Linked DNA regions of Oryzias latipes. The protein of the gene in region 2 purifies or fractionates together with the protein of the main gene of each other region. This does not show direct contact. Links are inferred from orthologs where the notes say so. Each region holds a gene or a part of one and is shown on either strand. Other genes may lie near its edges.

What was found.
Region 1: the proteins of fbl (region 2) and tgs1 purify together in Homo sapiens (affinity purification with mass spectrometry; 3 studies listed by BioGRID and IntAct, counting the BioPlex papers as one, with this or other methods). This does not show direct contact. The link is inferred for Oryzias latipes from reciprocal best matches to the Homo sapiens genes FBL and TGS1.

What each region holds. Positions count from the first base shown.
Region 1 is NC_019875.2:5,125,844-5,133,691, reverse strand, and holds part of tgs1 (trimethylguanosine synthase), read right to left. Parts: intron 7,826-7,848; coding exon 7,745-7,825; intron 7,583-7,744; coding exon 7,157-7,582; intron 4,520-7,156; coding exon 4,390-4,519; intron 2,139-4,389; coding exon 2,052-2,138; intron 378-2,051; coding exon 221-377; intron 1-220. UniProt on the Homo sapiens protein: Catalyzes the 2 serial methylation steps for the conversion of the 7-monomethylguanosine (m(7)G) caps of snRNAs and snoRNAs to a 2,2,7-trimethylguanosine (m(2,2,7)G) cap structure.
Region 2 is NC_019874.2:7,455,854-7,463,801, reverse strand, and holds the start of fbl (rRNA 2'-O-methyltransferase fibrillarin), read right to left. Parts: upstream 4,528-7,948; 5' UTR 4,409-4,527; coding exon 4,399-4,408; intron 3,437-4,398; coding exon 3,302-3,436; intron 3,227-3,301; coding exon 3,083-3,226; intron 1,153-3,082; coding exon 1,058-1,152; intron 814-1,057; coding exon 643-813; intron 472-642; coding exon 339-471; intron 253-338; coding exon 140-252; intron 13-139; coding exon 1-12.

The sequences.
Region 1 (7,848 bases), on a different chromosome or scaffold from region 2:
GTTTCCACAGCAGCTTTGTATAAACTGTCAGTTCGTGGATGGGTCCAGAGAGGTGAGCGGGTGGTCCCATCGTTTCCTGCCATCACCTATCCTCAGTGTTGTAAATGATAAATAGCTTTGGGTCTACTTCATTCATACTCTATGCGAGAATGGAGAAGATCAGAAACCTCCGTCCAGCAGTAACAGCGGACCTCTAACAGTGTCAAACAGGGAGGAGTACCTTTTGAACGGCGCTGCTGCTCTGTGATGGTGTGATGGCTTCACCCGCCTCAGGGAACCTGATGTGCTTGTTGACGCCGCAGACGCTCCTCTTCGTCTTCCTCTGCTTCTTCTGACGCAGAGAACCTGGACCTTTGAAGCTCAACACACTGTCGAACCTGCAGAAGGAACACAGACCCGGCTTCTGCTGTGTGGTCACTGCACGGTTATTCACACATGCATCCATAAGGCAGCCTCACCTGCACTTTCAGGGCTTTTTTACTTAAAGTCTGGCCTGTGGAACAAATGCTGCGTTCAGAATTCCACCGGCCCCCAGGCTCCTGTCACAAAATCAGTAATATGTGTCCCCTATACTTTTTGGTGAGTGGCTGAATTGCATTATAAGCTAGTCTAAGCTTCCTAACCTGTGAAAACAGCTTGCGGTTACTTGACCTGAAGAGCCTTAAGGGCAGGACAAGAAGAACAGATTTATTTGTTTCTGTGATCAAAACCAATGTCAGAATAAGATAACTATTTGTGCTGTTAACCTGTTCACATGGTTTCAATTTAGGAGAATACAGTGAGCCTTCAAAGGACCTATAGCATGCAAGAATAAAGCTAGTTCAATATGTTAAATGCAAGACTATATTTTAAAACCTGAAATGTTAAAAACACTCTTCATCTGAGCTCACTGAGCTGGTTCCAGCCATTTAATTTTTGAGCCTCATCCTTTACCGCCCTCCTGGAGCTATTAGACCTGGGCCCCGCCCTGCATCATCCTCCTGGAACTAACAGGCCCTGAGCCCCGCCCTGCACCATCCTCCTGGAGCTATTAGACCTGGGCCCCGCCCTGCACCATCCTCCTGGAGCTATTAGACCTGGGCCCCGCCCTGCACCATCCTCCTGGAGCTATTAGACCTGGGCCCCGCCCTGCACCATCCTCCTGGAACTAACAGGCCCTGAGCCCCGCCCTGCACCATCCTCCTGGAGCTATTAGACCTGGGCCCCGCCCTGCACCATCCTCCTGGAGCTATTAGACCTGGGCCCCGCCCTGCACCATCCTCCTGGTGCTTTTAGACCTGGGCCCCGCCCTGCACCATCCTCCTGGAGCTATTAGACCTGGGCCCCGCCCTGCACCATCCTCCTGGAGCTATTAGACCTGGGCCCCGCCCTGCACCATCCTCCTGGAGCTATTAGACCTGGGCCCTGCCCTGCACCATCCTCCTGGAGCTATTAGACCTGGGCCCCGCCCTGCACCATCCTCCTGGTGCTTTTAGACCTGGGCCCCGCCCTGCACCATCCTCCTGGAGCTATTAGACCTGGGCCCCGCCCTGCACCATCGTCCTGGAGCTATTAGACCTGGGCCCCGCCCTGCACCATCCTCCTGGAGCTATTAGACCTGGGCCTCATCCTGCATCATCTGCCTGGAGCAAATTGGCCTGAGTCTGTTAGCTTTGTCCTGCTTCATCCTTCTGGAGCTAACAGAGCTAGATGTGAGTCAGCAACAACTTAAGGCCAACCTAAGGTTAAGGCCAGAGCTCTGTACTGATCATCATCTCGAGTGCTTTCTATAAAAAAGGTTCAATAACTGCGATTTTGAAATCAATTTTGGAGTTTTGAGAGAAAAAAGTAAAATTTCAGGCACTTTTTGTGGGGGGGCTTTTATTGATGTTGGGGCTGACAGGTCCTGCTTACAAGTAGCATTGTCTCATTTGTAAACTGACTGTTGTCTCTGGAACCATGTTTGGAGGGGGAAGGGTGCTGCTGGGGGCTCCTTCAGAGTCCTGCTGCTCATGGGTGTGCTTTTTCTCCGTGACGAGCATAAAAGAGGGAATTAAAGAGAGCGGACTCACGTCAGGCCCGGGTCGTGTCGGAGTCCGAGCTCGGTCCAGGCTTCCTGGGGGGTGAGCTGCGGGAACTCCTCCTCGTCCTGCTCGTGGCTACAAACACAGACATGGCGTGTTGACAGGCTGGGACAGAAAGCGCCCACAGGTCCAGTTGAACCAGATGAGCAGCTGCCGTTATAAAACTTTGGTCCGGTCTTTGTGACATGACCTCTAATTTTCTGAAGTTATTGAAGCTAAACTCATATCAATGCGCTTTCCACATGTTATTGATCATTATTGATCCTATTGATAACTAAAACAAGGAAATGGGGACTTTCTTTTGGTAATGGTGAGGGATCACATGGAAGCCTATTGCATTACATTAAAATAAAATGGTTTTTGTGTGTATTAAAAGAAAAAAATATGAAAACAAACAAAGAGACTAGAGCTGCACGATAGGAGGAAAACTCACGATATGCAATATTAGTAATCAATATTGCGACGACGATATATATTGCGATTTACGAACACATAGCAAAACAACCAAATACAACATTTCTATTTCACTGCAATTTAATTGAAATAAGAGTCAACATAACTTTATACTCGAAATGACCCTCGTCTACATAGAACAGCTAACATAAAAGGGCTCCATCTGATCTGATGCATAAAGGGATTTATTTTGATTCGCTAAATACTTCAAGCTGCCATAAGATTGTTTTAGCACATTTAAAGTAACCATTTATTTTTGCCATCCATTGCGATATGCACACTGCACAGCTTAATATCGCGATATCGATAAATTTGCGAATCATTGTGAAGGCCTAAATGAAACAAACAAAAAGCCGGGTGATCTTTATTGAAATATTTTCCGCGATTTTCTTTCTGATAATTTCAAGAACTACAGAAGCAAAGAACTCGTCATGTGTTCATGAAAACTAGAAGATGAGCTGCAATTAAATGATGAAGAGCCACAAAGTGTCCGTGTCACAGACATGATCCGTTTAGTTTTTGTTCGTCACAACATCACCCGTCTGTTCTATTCTTCCTACTTTATCCACAAACATTACAGAACACAACGTTGGGAACGTATTAAATATTGACCAGCCTCTGGATTTAGAGGTTTGAAGGTGATACCCAGCTGTAATGTTTGGTCTTATTTTGGGCAACTAAATAAGTTTAGCTTTAAATTCCTATACAGTGTTTGGGGAGGACCTGACTTCTTTACCTTCATGTAGTTTTAAAAAAAATCCAAAGTACAAAATGACAAAACTAAACACAGCTTTAGTGCCTTTGTAAGCATCAGCGCTTCAAGCAAAACCAATAGACATCTTGTATAATCTTTTATGAATAAATACCTTTACTAAATTTATCAGAAACCACACAGAAAGTCTGTCTGAGTGCAGCAGAAAGAAACAAAAAAGCAAAAACAAACAAACATGAATATACTTTTAGTTTAAAACCTCAACCAAAATGTAAAAGCTGCTCCCTTCTGCCACCAGCCTCTAGTGGTCTTTTCATGAACTGCACTATTTAATGCTTCCCGGTTTGCATCAACTGCAGGAACCGAAGGTTGGCGATTGGCGACTAAAGTGAGAGTTTGTAAGCTCCGCCCATTTGCCAAATCATAAGCTTAATATGCAGAAAACTGAGCTCTAATAAAACCAAAACACTATGCAAGTTGAAAAGGCATTGCAGTAAAATAATGTTTCTAGTCTGGTCCCTAAAACAAGTCAAAACCCTGATTTATTGAATAAAATGATCCCATAATGACAGAGTTATTGTCTGAAGATTCATGAGTTCAAACTTTGTTAACAACTTTACTAAAGAGCTGCACTACTATCACGTGATCAGGGTTGGTTTTTACCCCAATTGTTTTCCAGGTAAAAATAAAAAGAAACTTTTGGGATTCTTTTCTGTGTTATTTAGAAAGACAGCCTAACTGACTCCTGGACAGTTTCTGATATTGGTCTCCTGTGTCTCTGCAAACATATTTGGTGTTTGAATTGTCCCAGAGGAGCTTTTTCTGTAGCGAATATTCCATCATGTGGACAGCTCTGTCTCTAGCCGCATGACTGGAGGGACCTGAACATGTGATTCAGGTTTCTTCACAGGCTGCATCTGCCAGGACAGTCTATCGAGTCTATCGACTCTCCTGGCAGATCTGGACATGAGCGAAACACTAACACTAACGGCTGCGCCTGAAAAAGGACTGAGAAGGAAAAAAACACTTCTTCCTTATTATTCCTTATTCTTATCAGTATTTTTTATCCGACACTGCTGCTACTCCCAGATTTTGATCGATTCTTGATGTACATCCGTGTCCGTTACATCCCTACTTAGCAGCACAACAGAGAATACTCACCTGCGCTTCACTTTGGTCTGTCGCCTGGGGTTTTCATCATCTTCGTCCTCATCATCGTCGTCATCTCTTTGCGAAATCGGCTTTCTGGAGTCATGATGTCCGTTAGAGGAGCCAGAGTTCTGCTGACAGACTGAGATCAAACCAAAGGCATGAGGCGATGATCTGACACGGCCCTGATTCTGTTTTCATTCAACAAACCACACGTTCATTTTAACACAATTTGAATTAAAAAAAAGGACTTTTTAAATCTAATTTCCATTAAAAACCATTTCTATTCAGAGAAACCTTTTAAAGTAAAAAAAGTTGTGAATTTTTATGATGAAGAAAAGCAAAAGAATTCCTCATTAACTGATGGAAATGAAACAATACAGCTTTGACAGAGAACCGATCTAGTATTTGATGAACTGATGTTTTAAGTACGACTTTTACCTCACCCTCAATATTTATCATTAATGTATTCACTTTTATTATTAAAGACACTGTTGAAAACATCACTAAATAACAAAGAGCCGGTCCTAAAGACGCCGCCCGGCCGGCCTCTTTACTTTTCCCCATTGTGGGAAAAGTTCTGCGACATGAGAAAGCAGATCTGTCTTCATCCAAACGGGTTAGGAGATCCAGGACGCCTGCAGTCAAGTGTTACAGGAACATAGAAGGAGATAGAAAAGATGACGCTGAAAGAGGTAAAACACGCTCAGGTCTTAATGAAAACTGTGGACAGTGAGTCACGCTTCGGACAGAAAAGGTCCCGCTGTGGGTCACGGACACATCTGCTGAATATTTAATTTTATTTATATATTTTATATATTTATTTTATATATTTATTTCCAGCTATGAAAAAAAATTCACTTACGTTTTTGTTTTTTAAGTAGATACTAAGTTGAAGGGCCTTTAGCATGCTGTTCTTAGGCCTTTCAGAGTAAACTACATCCATAAATATGATAATAAATCACCTTTGGAACAATAAAAATGCTTTTTTAAATGTCTTTCAAACATTTTTTAAAATAAAATATGAGTTATTTTTGCAGCTCAGTTCCCAACCCGGAATTAAGACGACTCGATTTCTGAGGCTCCGCCTTTCTCTCTGTGTGGGTTACGCCCATTTCATGTTGTCAACCTACAGCCGAAAACAAACAACATCCGAACTTTTACAAAGAAAGATGTGCATATTGTTCATATAAAAGGAAAGCATTTAGCCGATGACCGCTAGCTCCACGGAGAAAGTGGGCGTGTGTTTTAGTCTGGGGGCGGGGCTGACAGCGCAGACTCTTCCTGGAAGGGGCGGTTCCTCACTTTGTGATGTCACAGTGTAAGGCAGTGTTTTTCAACCAGTGTGCCGTGGGAGATGGTCAAATGTGCCGTGGGAAATTGCCCTCATTAAGTGATCTAAAAACATTTTCCATCTCCAGGATTTCAGCTCTTTGTTCATCCAAACAGGTCCTGATAAAACACTGAGGAGTTAGGAATATGAAAGATAGTAAAATACTTTTTCTTTGCGTTTATTTTATTTTATTAAAGACATTTTGATAAGAATGACGTTACCACGATTCAGCTGCAGCTCCGGCTGTATTTTGGAAAAGTCCCGCCCCTTTAACTGTCTCCACCAATCATTCTTGAAGGCTTAATCACATGTCATCAGTCTGACCAATCAGAAGTGGTTAAAGTCTTCACTTCCTTGTCCCGATTTAGTTCGTAAAGTCGCTCAGTTCTAACAAAACTACCAGCTAAAGCTCGTCTTTTGCGCTGTAGCTTTCCACATAATCTGGTGTCAGACCGTGGAACAAGTGAACAAAACAATGAAGCTCCGAAAACCGATCTTCGGCCGTTTTATGCACTACATCTCCCATGATGCATTGGGTTATGAGAGTGACAGCGCACAAGGAGATCTGTTGTTAAACGTCTTGAAACCAACGAACACACTTCAAACTGTTTTTAAATCTTCTAACTTAACTTTTATTGCATCTTTTAGAAAAAAACAGCTGCAGTTTCCAGCTTTTTCTGCAACAATTATCTCAAAAATGCATGTGAGACTGTGGAGGGGCTGTAGATCAATACAGACTATGAGTTTCTCCTTTTTTTTTTTTTTCTTGGATGCTGGTGTGCCGCGGGATTTTTTTTAAGGTTAAAGTGTGCCGTGGATCAGAAAAGGTTGAAAAACACTGGTGTAAGGAACCAACCGTTTCCATGGATTTGGAGGGGCTGGTGCTCAGAGAGCAGGTTTTCAGAGGATTACTCAGATAAAATTTAACTTTTGGGTCGTCTATGTGAGAAATGAACATAATAATACACTTAAAACCTCAAAAGGTGGATTTTTTTTAGGCCCTTTGATTTTGAGGCAGAAGTGGTTTGATGAATATTTGCATCAATAGGCATCAAGAGCTGAAAAATTATCAGCAGAGAAACGGAAAAATTTAAATCTGGTAACAAACATTTGAGACTGAAAACGAGGATTTGAACAGAGTGAAAACAGCAGGGGGCTTTGTTTTCTTTAGAAAAGGGCATCTCCTCAGTGGCCTTAAGGTAGAGTGTCTCCCCTGAGACTGGAAGGTGAGTTCAGATCCAAAGACTCTAAAATGCCTACCCCATTGGCACTCAACATTAAAGGGTTGGATCGGGGGGGGGTTAAACCGGCAAATGGCTCCCACTGGGCAGCTGTGTCTGCAGCTCACCGCTCCCCCAGGGGGAGGGGTCACATGTGTAGAAAAGGTCACACAGCCAAGTTTGTGACAGCTAATGGGACATGAAATTGGTCAGGTGATGCACATACCTGTTTGTTCAGCTGTGTGCTGCTGTGGAGGGCCAGCTGGTCTCTGCTCATCACCCCCACCGTCACTGGGGCGCTCAGATCCACCAAGCTCCGCCTCCAGCTGCTGGCCGCCTCCCTCACCTTCCCTGCTCGCCTCCTGGTCTGCCGCGAAGGTGCAGCTGCCCTCCAACAGAGTGCTCAGCTCCTCCTCCTGCCGGTTTTCCGTCTCAGCAGCTGCCTCTCCTCCACCGCCGTTCCCGTCCATAGTCCAACCCTGCGAGGCCCAGTAGGAGAATCTCTCCCAGTACGAGCAGTAGATCTCTGAAGCGTGCTCGTCCCACATGGACCTCATTTCTGGATCATCCCACGGAGCACCGGCCGTTCCCTCAGCGCCTTCCGGATGTTTCTCCGACCAGCCGGTCCACAGCAGAGCTTCTCCATGCTGAGCTTCAGAGGACGACAACGGAGAAGGAGAGGTCACGTAAGGCGATGACGGCTCTCTAACGCCACATGCACACGAGTTGGACAGAAAGGTCAACATCAATCTGCGTCTTTTTGCTTTTAAAATTCCAAATATGGAATGATCGTGACTTTTAACTCCGCCCTCACCCCAGTAAGAATTCCAGCCATCACCCTGATGCTCTTCATCGCCATCTGCTCCATGGCAGCCATCCTCTTCTTTTCCTCCATCTGAAACAAAAATCACATCAACC
Region 2 (7,948 bases):
GATGCAGTTGGCCTGAATCAGGAGAGAACTATGATCAGAACCGAACAGATACACACAAAACACGGATTCCTTCTCAACACCACATCCTCTCCTCATCCCCAGGGTAGTGCGTCTCCAACGGAAATGTGAGCCGTCATACCTTAATGGAGATGACAAAGTGTCCACCATTCTTCAGGAAGTTGTGAGCATTAAGGGCCACGATTCTGGTCTGGTCAGGCTGAGCGACGTCAGCAAAGATCACGTCCACCATGCCTGCAGAGGAGCACAGCGCCAACGTGAGGCCGGGGAGGAGAAGCGCTCTGTCCGCACAGCCGCTGTGCTGAGGCACTGACACCTACCAACCAGCATGCGGTACTTGTGCGGATGGCGGGCGTCTTCGATGATGGGGATGATGTTGGTGCGTTTCTTAGCCACATTGAGGAGATCGCGGCCAGATCGGTGGGAGAATTCCACTGCATAGACCAGCCCCTCCTTAAAACAAAAACAAGATCCAACATGAGTCTAGAGGGGGCGGAGTCAGACGGTTTATTCTGACAAAATGTGTCAAAGCTGCATATTGATCAAACCACATATGGGTACTGACAGCAGTGACGCATTTTCACAACAGCAACAACAATGCGATTACTTCTGAAATGTACTTACTGGCCCAACGATGTCAGAGACGTGGGACACCGTGGTTCCCGATGCGGCTCCAAGGTACATGACCTTGGCTCCGGGTTTGATGTGAATCTGGTCAACTCCTCCAAGAATGGCAGCTGCTAGTTTGGAGCGGAAAGGATTCCAGGCTCTGTACTCAATCTTAGTATCACCCTCCTGATCAAAAACAGGAAATCCACAATCATCTTCCAGAAGAAAAATCCACCAAGTCCAGCTCTGCTGCAGAAGCCAGCCAAGAGTTTACGTCATCTAGCAGGAAAGGATCCAAACATTTTAAAAACAGGAGTTATGGTTTCAGTTTTTACACTTTGCTGTTGCAGGGACCAGAGGCTGAGGGTTAACCAACCCTTCAGCACTGGAGCTACAGGGACAACCTCACAATACAGAAGCGGCTCTTTACCTCCACGCTCATCCTCTTCTCCCCGTACACAGACTCTCCCACCACCATGTTTTTGGTGACGAGGGCATCCTCCTTCCCTCTGCAGATAAACACCCCTGGAAGAAACCACGACCCAGACCGTCAGACCCACATACATAACCTCCTTACATCTTCATTCTGAAACGCTCAAAGGGCCGTCCCACTTAACCTTTTAGAAAAATACACCTTTTTACACCCATTCCTTTGTAAGATTTACCTTTTAAATATTTCTAAAATCTTATATTTTTCTATAGATAACATCTGGAACTTCTTTACTCTTTACAGCAGCAGATCTGTGTTCCTTTCAAAATAAAGTGCACGCTGTGTCAAATAAGATCCTTCTGATGCAGCAGATTTACTTACAATAAAAATACACAAAAAACAGGTCAAACGTGACATTTTCTGTCATGACTTTGGTGCGCTTTCATCCTGTTTATTTCTTTTACTGTCAAAACTAAACATAGGTGTAGAAAACAATTTTTTAAATCCACTCGTGTAAATGCAAAATACAGACTTCAAAAACTCTGAACAACAACCAGACATCGTTGTGCGTTGTTTAAACCTCTTAAGACCCAGGCTAATGTTTGAGATAACCCTCGAATCAAGTAATTACAGGGCTCAGTTTAAGCAGAAATGTGGTCATCTAACCCAATTTAACTGTGATGTCCACACACAGATCTGAAGAGGTTAAAGCCAAAGAGCTACCACAGACTGTTAAAGGGGCCGCCTGTGGTTGCAGACCCCTGTTCATTCCTCTAAAGACGTCACATTTACATTACCTTTAACTCAGCTAAGAAACAGAGCTGTTCAGCTCTTCACTATAGACCTGTAGAGTAGTAATGACTCACTTCAGAGGAACCATCCATGACAAACATCTGAAGCAAACTGACTTAACTCTCCTACGTCAGTTTCAGACTCTCACCACAGCAACATGACCTTTAACTCGAGGAAACCCTGAAACAGCACGAGTCCTGCCGTACAGAAACTAGTCCATGCATCTGTGATGGAACTTCCTGATGACTGGGCTGTTCCAGAACAGCTCTGAAAAGCCTTCAGCTCATCCAGACAACTGTAAGCAGAGCTTTGATGAAATTTGGTGGAAGACATCTTTCTGTTCAAACAGAACATTCTTTCTACGGAAACTTTAAATGTTCATGCTCCACGTACTCTCCAAAGACCCCAGTTAAAAAAAAAAAAAAAAGCCGGTTCTGTTTGGTGGTTTCTAGAACAACAGAACCAAGTCCATTTCATTTCAGGACAAAGCCTCCCTCAATGTTAAAAACAACTAGAGGATGGTTTGGGGGTAGTCGTGTCTTTCTGTCCGTTCAGACTGACCTGCTGCGTCTACATTTGAATGAGGATTCTCTGTCGTTTTCATCTTGTTTGCTTTTTCATGCGTGCATGATGAGCTTTGGGTGAAGAGTAACCCTGAATTTACACTGCTCCCTCTGCAGTGTGCCGCCGTCGCGCTGTTTGAGGAGTTTGTTTCAAGACCCTCCCCCTGGAGGAGTGGATTGGCCTTTCAACCCCGTGTCTCTTTGCTCATCCAATACTTAAACGATCAAACCCCGTACCCTCCTCTTCCTCACTGAGTCCTTGTAAAATACACATTTTGTGTCATACATGTGTTTTTTAACCTCCACAATTAAACTTTCCTCGTCCGTGGTGGTGTTAGCGGCGGTGTTGACGTGCGTCATCATGTGAACACGTCACTGTAAATATGAAGTCTTAGAAAGTTTTATTTTGAAAATACAACAGAAGATTTTATCTTTAAACCCGGATCCGTTTCCCGGCTTTTAGGGACGAATTTGAAGCGTCGATTGGCAGAAAATAGAACTGCTGCGTAAAGCCTGGGTTGTGGAGGGACGGACATGTGACGGAGACGGTGTAAACATTCTGATTGGCACATTTCTTGTGTCACCACATCGCAGACGCACCGCAGGTAGAAATCAGCTTTTAGACGCCTGTTTAAAATGGAAAAGATCATCATCAGGAGTCCATAAGTACCTTCATGTCTGTGCGGCTCTATCACCACCTTCTTCCCTCCTCCAAACCCTCCACGGCCTCCTCTCCCTCCTCGTCCTCTTGGGGTTCCTCTGCCGCCCCCGCGTCCTCGAAACCCTCCACCGTCGGGGGACCGGAATCCTCCACCTAAAAAGAGGCTTTTGTGAGTAACAGATCCTTCTGCTGGCTGTCTACGGAACGGAACTACGGCGCCGTTCTTACCTCGTCCACCTCTGAACCCGCCTCTTCCTCCACGGTCACCGAACCCCCCTCTTCCTCCTCGGTCACTGAACCCCCCTCGTCCTCCACCCCATCCTCCTCCTCCTCTTCCTCCTCTGTCTCCACGGGGACTGAATCCTGAAACACACAACACATGAAAGATTGCAGTCAGGTGGTCTCACTAACTCCACGCCTACAGTCCCGCCTACAACTCAGAGGTGAATTTTTAATGAACTCCTGCTGCTCTGCAGGAACTATGTCCTAGGAAACAACAGTTTATGGATCTTGCCTGAAAACGACAAAATCAGAATTAAAAGACCACTGGGAACACTTTGAAAATAGATCCAATGATGATCGTAGTGGGACTTGAAACACTTTGGATTTCGAATGGAGGGTGGGGCCTTGGTCCTGCCCAAAAGTCAACACCTGTGGGGGACTTAACTCTGTCCCCCCCTCACTTTATGTTTCAGTCCAACCAGTGAAGTCAGAGATCGTCCAATTCGTCTAGATTGTATACAAAGTTTAACTATATTGTTTGAGATAGGAGTTTGGAGACTTATTTTAAATGAATAATTAAAATTGCCCCAAATTGGGGGCGTGGTTTTCTGCCTGCCGTGACCAATCATGAGCTGTAAAGAGGGCCAGTGGCTGTTCATAAACAAAATCTCTCTTTTTTTTTTTCAAACAAGAGTCATTAGAGACAACACAGCGACGTCCTTAAAAAAAAGGTAATCTAATCCTAATAAAAATCACGTGACCGCAGACTTCGTGGTTTGGTTTCGGGGAGAATCTTAGCTTTTGGGTTCGGAATGGAGAGTTTGTCCTTTCCGTCGTTCTGACCCATAACATTCACGGTTCGGGAGTATTAGCGAGAAGCCCCCCCACCAAAACACGAACCATCTGAATAAAATTTAGGGGCTTCGTAGACGCCGCTGCCGAGCATGATGGGAAATCGGTTTGATTATTACCAACATGTAACTTATCGGCGCACGAGGCAACTTCTGTTGTTACCCCCCTCCTTCCCTAACGCAAAAAATGCTTTATTTCGGAGCTGAGATATTGACATTATAGATACATCCGGGCGGAGCTTACGATATTACCTGGCTTCATGATAGCTTTAAGAACCGGGAAAGTTGACCTCTGATTCTTCGAACCGTCCGGGTCCAACCGCGCGTGCGAGCTGCGTGGCCACGTGCGCTTCTTATTCTTTGCAGCAGGGAACGACTTCCGTTTTCAAACGAAGTCGGGGCGTTCCGCCGCTCTGTTCCAGAGGTGCTGCCCCCTGTAGCTCTGGACATGTCTCTGCACAGACTACCCCCGCTTAGAATAAAAAGTCCAACAAAAATAAAGTGTCTAGGAGAGATGGCAGTGGAGCTTTTGACTGAGTTGTTCAACAGGATGTTAGAATGTGAGAAGATGCCTAAGGAATGGAGAAGTGTGATGGTGCCCATTTAAAAAAAAGGCAGGTGTAAAGTGTTTTGGCAACTAAAATATTTAGTTTTGTTTATGCTCAAAATACATACGTAAACATTCATTCGTTCATTTTCTAATCTGTTTTTTCCCTTTCGGGGTCACAGGGCTGCCAGAGCCTATCCCAGCCACTTGCAGGCGAAGGCAGGGTACAACCCTGGACAGGTCGCAAGTCTATCGCAGGGCCACAATCACACACCCATGCATCCTAGGGACAATTTCGAGTAACCAATTAACCTATGAAGCATGTTTTTGGAGTCCCCGTAGAAAATCCATGCATGCACAGGGAGAACATGCAAACTCCACACAGAAAGGTCCCCCACTGATGTTCTGTTTCAGGTCCCCCAGCCGGGACTTGAACTGGGAGCTTTCTTGCTGTGAGGAAAGAGCCTTTCTTTGGATTGTCAGCATAGAGGGGGCAGCGTCATTCACAGTAGTTCATTGGGCCCTGTGACTGTAGTATAGGGGTTCGCTCAAATATTATGTATGTAAATAAAGCATAGCCACATTAAAGATTCTCCACCCTGTCATGCTGCCTCATCACACTCTATTGTTTTTGGAAATAATTCGTTTTTTCCCCCCTTTATTTTTGAAGCACCATTCAGGCTCCTGAACTGTTTAAAGGTACTTGAGAATTTACTTTAATGTAGAAAAATAAACATTTATTTATTTCCTAAATCATACTTTTTTGGTTAAGGCACAGTCATTCCATTTTTTTTCTTGTTCTGAAAATTATTTTGTTGTCAAAATACTTGTTGACTGTTCCCTTTATATATTTGAAGTTACCTAAATAAAAGCACTATGAATTTGCTTGGGTAAAATCAACTTATATATATATTATTAACATTGTGATCATTAAATAAACTAAATTTTACAATTATTTTTTACAACGAAAGACGTATTGAAATTCTGGTAGAGTTTTTTCAAGTCATATTTAAAAAAAGAAAGAAAATGTGTTCCGGTTAAATATCACAATACATATCGTATTGTGGGACGAGTATTGGGATAAGTATCTTATAGGCAGACTCTTGCCAATACACACCCCTACGTCGCAGTGACTGACATTTAGGAATTTATACGTTCAGTTTGTTGAATAATAACCAAGCAAAATCAGAAAAGGGCTGGTTTATACTCGTTCATACTGATGTCAGCTGTTTTTGATCGCAACTGTCCGATGGACTTCAGAGTAACATTTATAGTTTTCAAACGACACGATAGTCTCCGGCGTACATTATTTTTAACATGAACGTCATCCTGCTCATACACTTGCAGTGTCTGTGAGCGCACAGGTACATGTACATACAGCACATTCTTTACTATAAAGACTGCATCTCAAAAACCAAATCTGCCTACGACTCCAATCTAATCAATTAAAATAAAAAATAATCAATGATTCTTTTCTCCCTCATCTCTAACATCATCAAACCTCCTAACTCCCTTCCATCACACCTCTATTCAACTGATTTCTGCAACACCTTGGCTTCATTTTTCACCACAAAAATCCATCAACAGTTTACCCCCTACTCTGCTCCATTTCTATTTTCCATTCCGTCTTTTAAGTCTGATATTTGGTTTTCTTCATTTACCCTACCCACAGTTAGTCAAATCTCTACATTAATTCAAAAAATCCTAACCTTCCACATGCCAGCTTGACCCACTGCCCACCATCCTTGTTAAAGCTACTGCTCCTTCTCTTTGTCCTCTCATCACCAACATAATCCATGCTTCATTCCTCTGGAATTGTTCCTTCTGCACTGAAAACTGCTGCTGTCACTCCCATACTTAAATAATTGGGTTCAGATCCCACAGACCTCAATAATTACCGTCCCATTTCCAACCTTCCATTCATTTAAAAAATTCTTGAGAAAATAGTATCTGCTCAGCTTCATGCTCATGATATTTCCTCCAATAATCTGTATGAACTTTTCCAATCTGCCTTCCGTCCCCTTGCTGAAACTCATTCATTCATTCATCTTCTAATCCCGTTTTCCCTTTCGGGGTCACAGGGCTGCCAGAGCCTATCCCGGCCACTGTCGTAAAAAATTGACTTTTTTTAATCCGTAAAAGTTATGAAATGAGCCGGAAACAGCACTACCATTGAGCTAGCTAGCATGGCTACCACAGGAGAACATTTTGTACAATGAATGGCGATAGTTTTTCATGCAACATCTTACTTTCTAACATCTTTTTTTTCACTAGCAGCTACTGGTGGAGCTCTAATATAGCTTTAATATAGAAAAAGATTTGAAAAATATGAAAAACTCACCTTCCGAAACTGGTATGTTGACGTAAGACTGAGTTATTCGGTAGCCAATGAGCTACTGGATGACGAGGATGATTTTACGTGTCGACAGGTTTTAGAATCAAAACCGCAAAAAATAAAAGCGCAACTCAAAAAGAGGATTTCAAAATAAAACTACAACTCAAAAAGACGATTTCAGAATGGCGAGAAGACAAATTGGCAACTGAGAAATATGATTGTGTTTTGGGTTATAGCTATTGGTTGCAAATTATAGGTTTTGGTTCTCAATTTATGCATTTTGATTAGCAGATTTGGGGTTTGTTTTTTGATGCGCGGTTTTACAGTTTTGATGCACAATACTTAAGGCGCTGAATTGACACCATAGAAGTGGTATATTTGTCCATTGAAAAGAAGCAGGCAACACGAAGGCGACAGCAATAAAAAAAATTGTATTCTCTAGTGCTGCAAGATATAAGACATCTCTCCATTAGCTTGCTCTATTTTCTATCTAGTTGTCCGTTCTCTGCCTCTCTCTGTATATGTGTGAAGTTTGGCATTTCTAAAAACTTCTCTCCATTTCCTGAGACATTCACTGAGCACATGTTTCACCCTGGATAGTGGCTTCCACGCTCACCAGTCCTCGGCCTCCTTCCTTGCAGCTAGCATACAGTCTCAGGATGCTGGATTTGGGATGGAACCCTCCATATAATGTGAGGAGCTTTCGGGTCTTAACATCCGTGGTTTCTATCTCTTCCTTTGGTAATCTTATTATTTCTGCAGGGTATCTGATAACTGGTAGTGTGTAACCCTTTATTGCCCAGGTCTTGTTCTTGCCATTGAGCAGGCTTCTCAAGACTTGCCTTACTCGTTGGAGGTTTTTGGCTACTGCAGCTTTCCTTGTTGCCTACTCCAGGTTGCCATTTGCCCATGGAATTCCA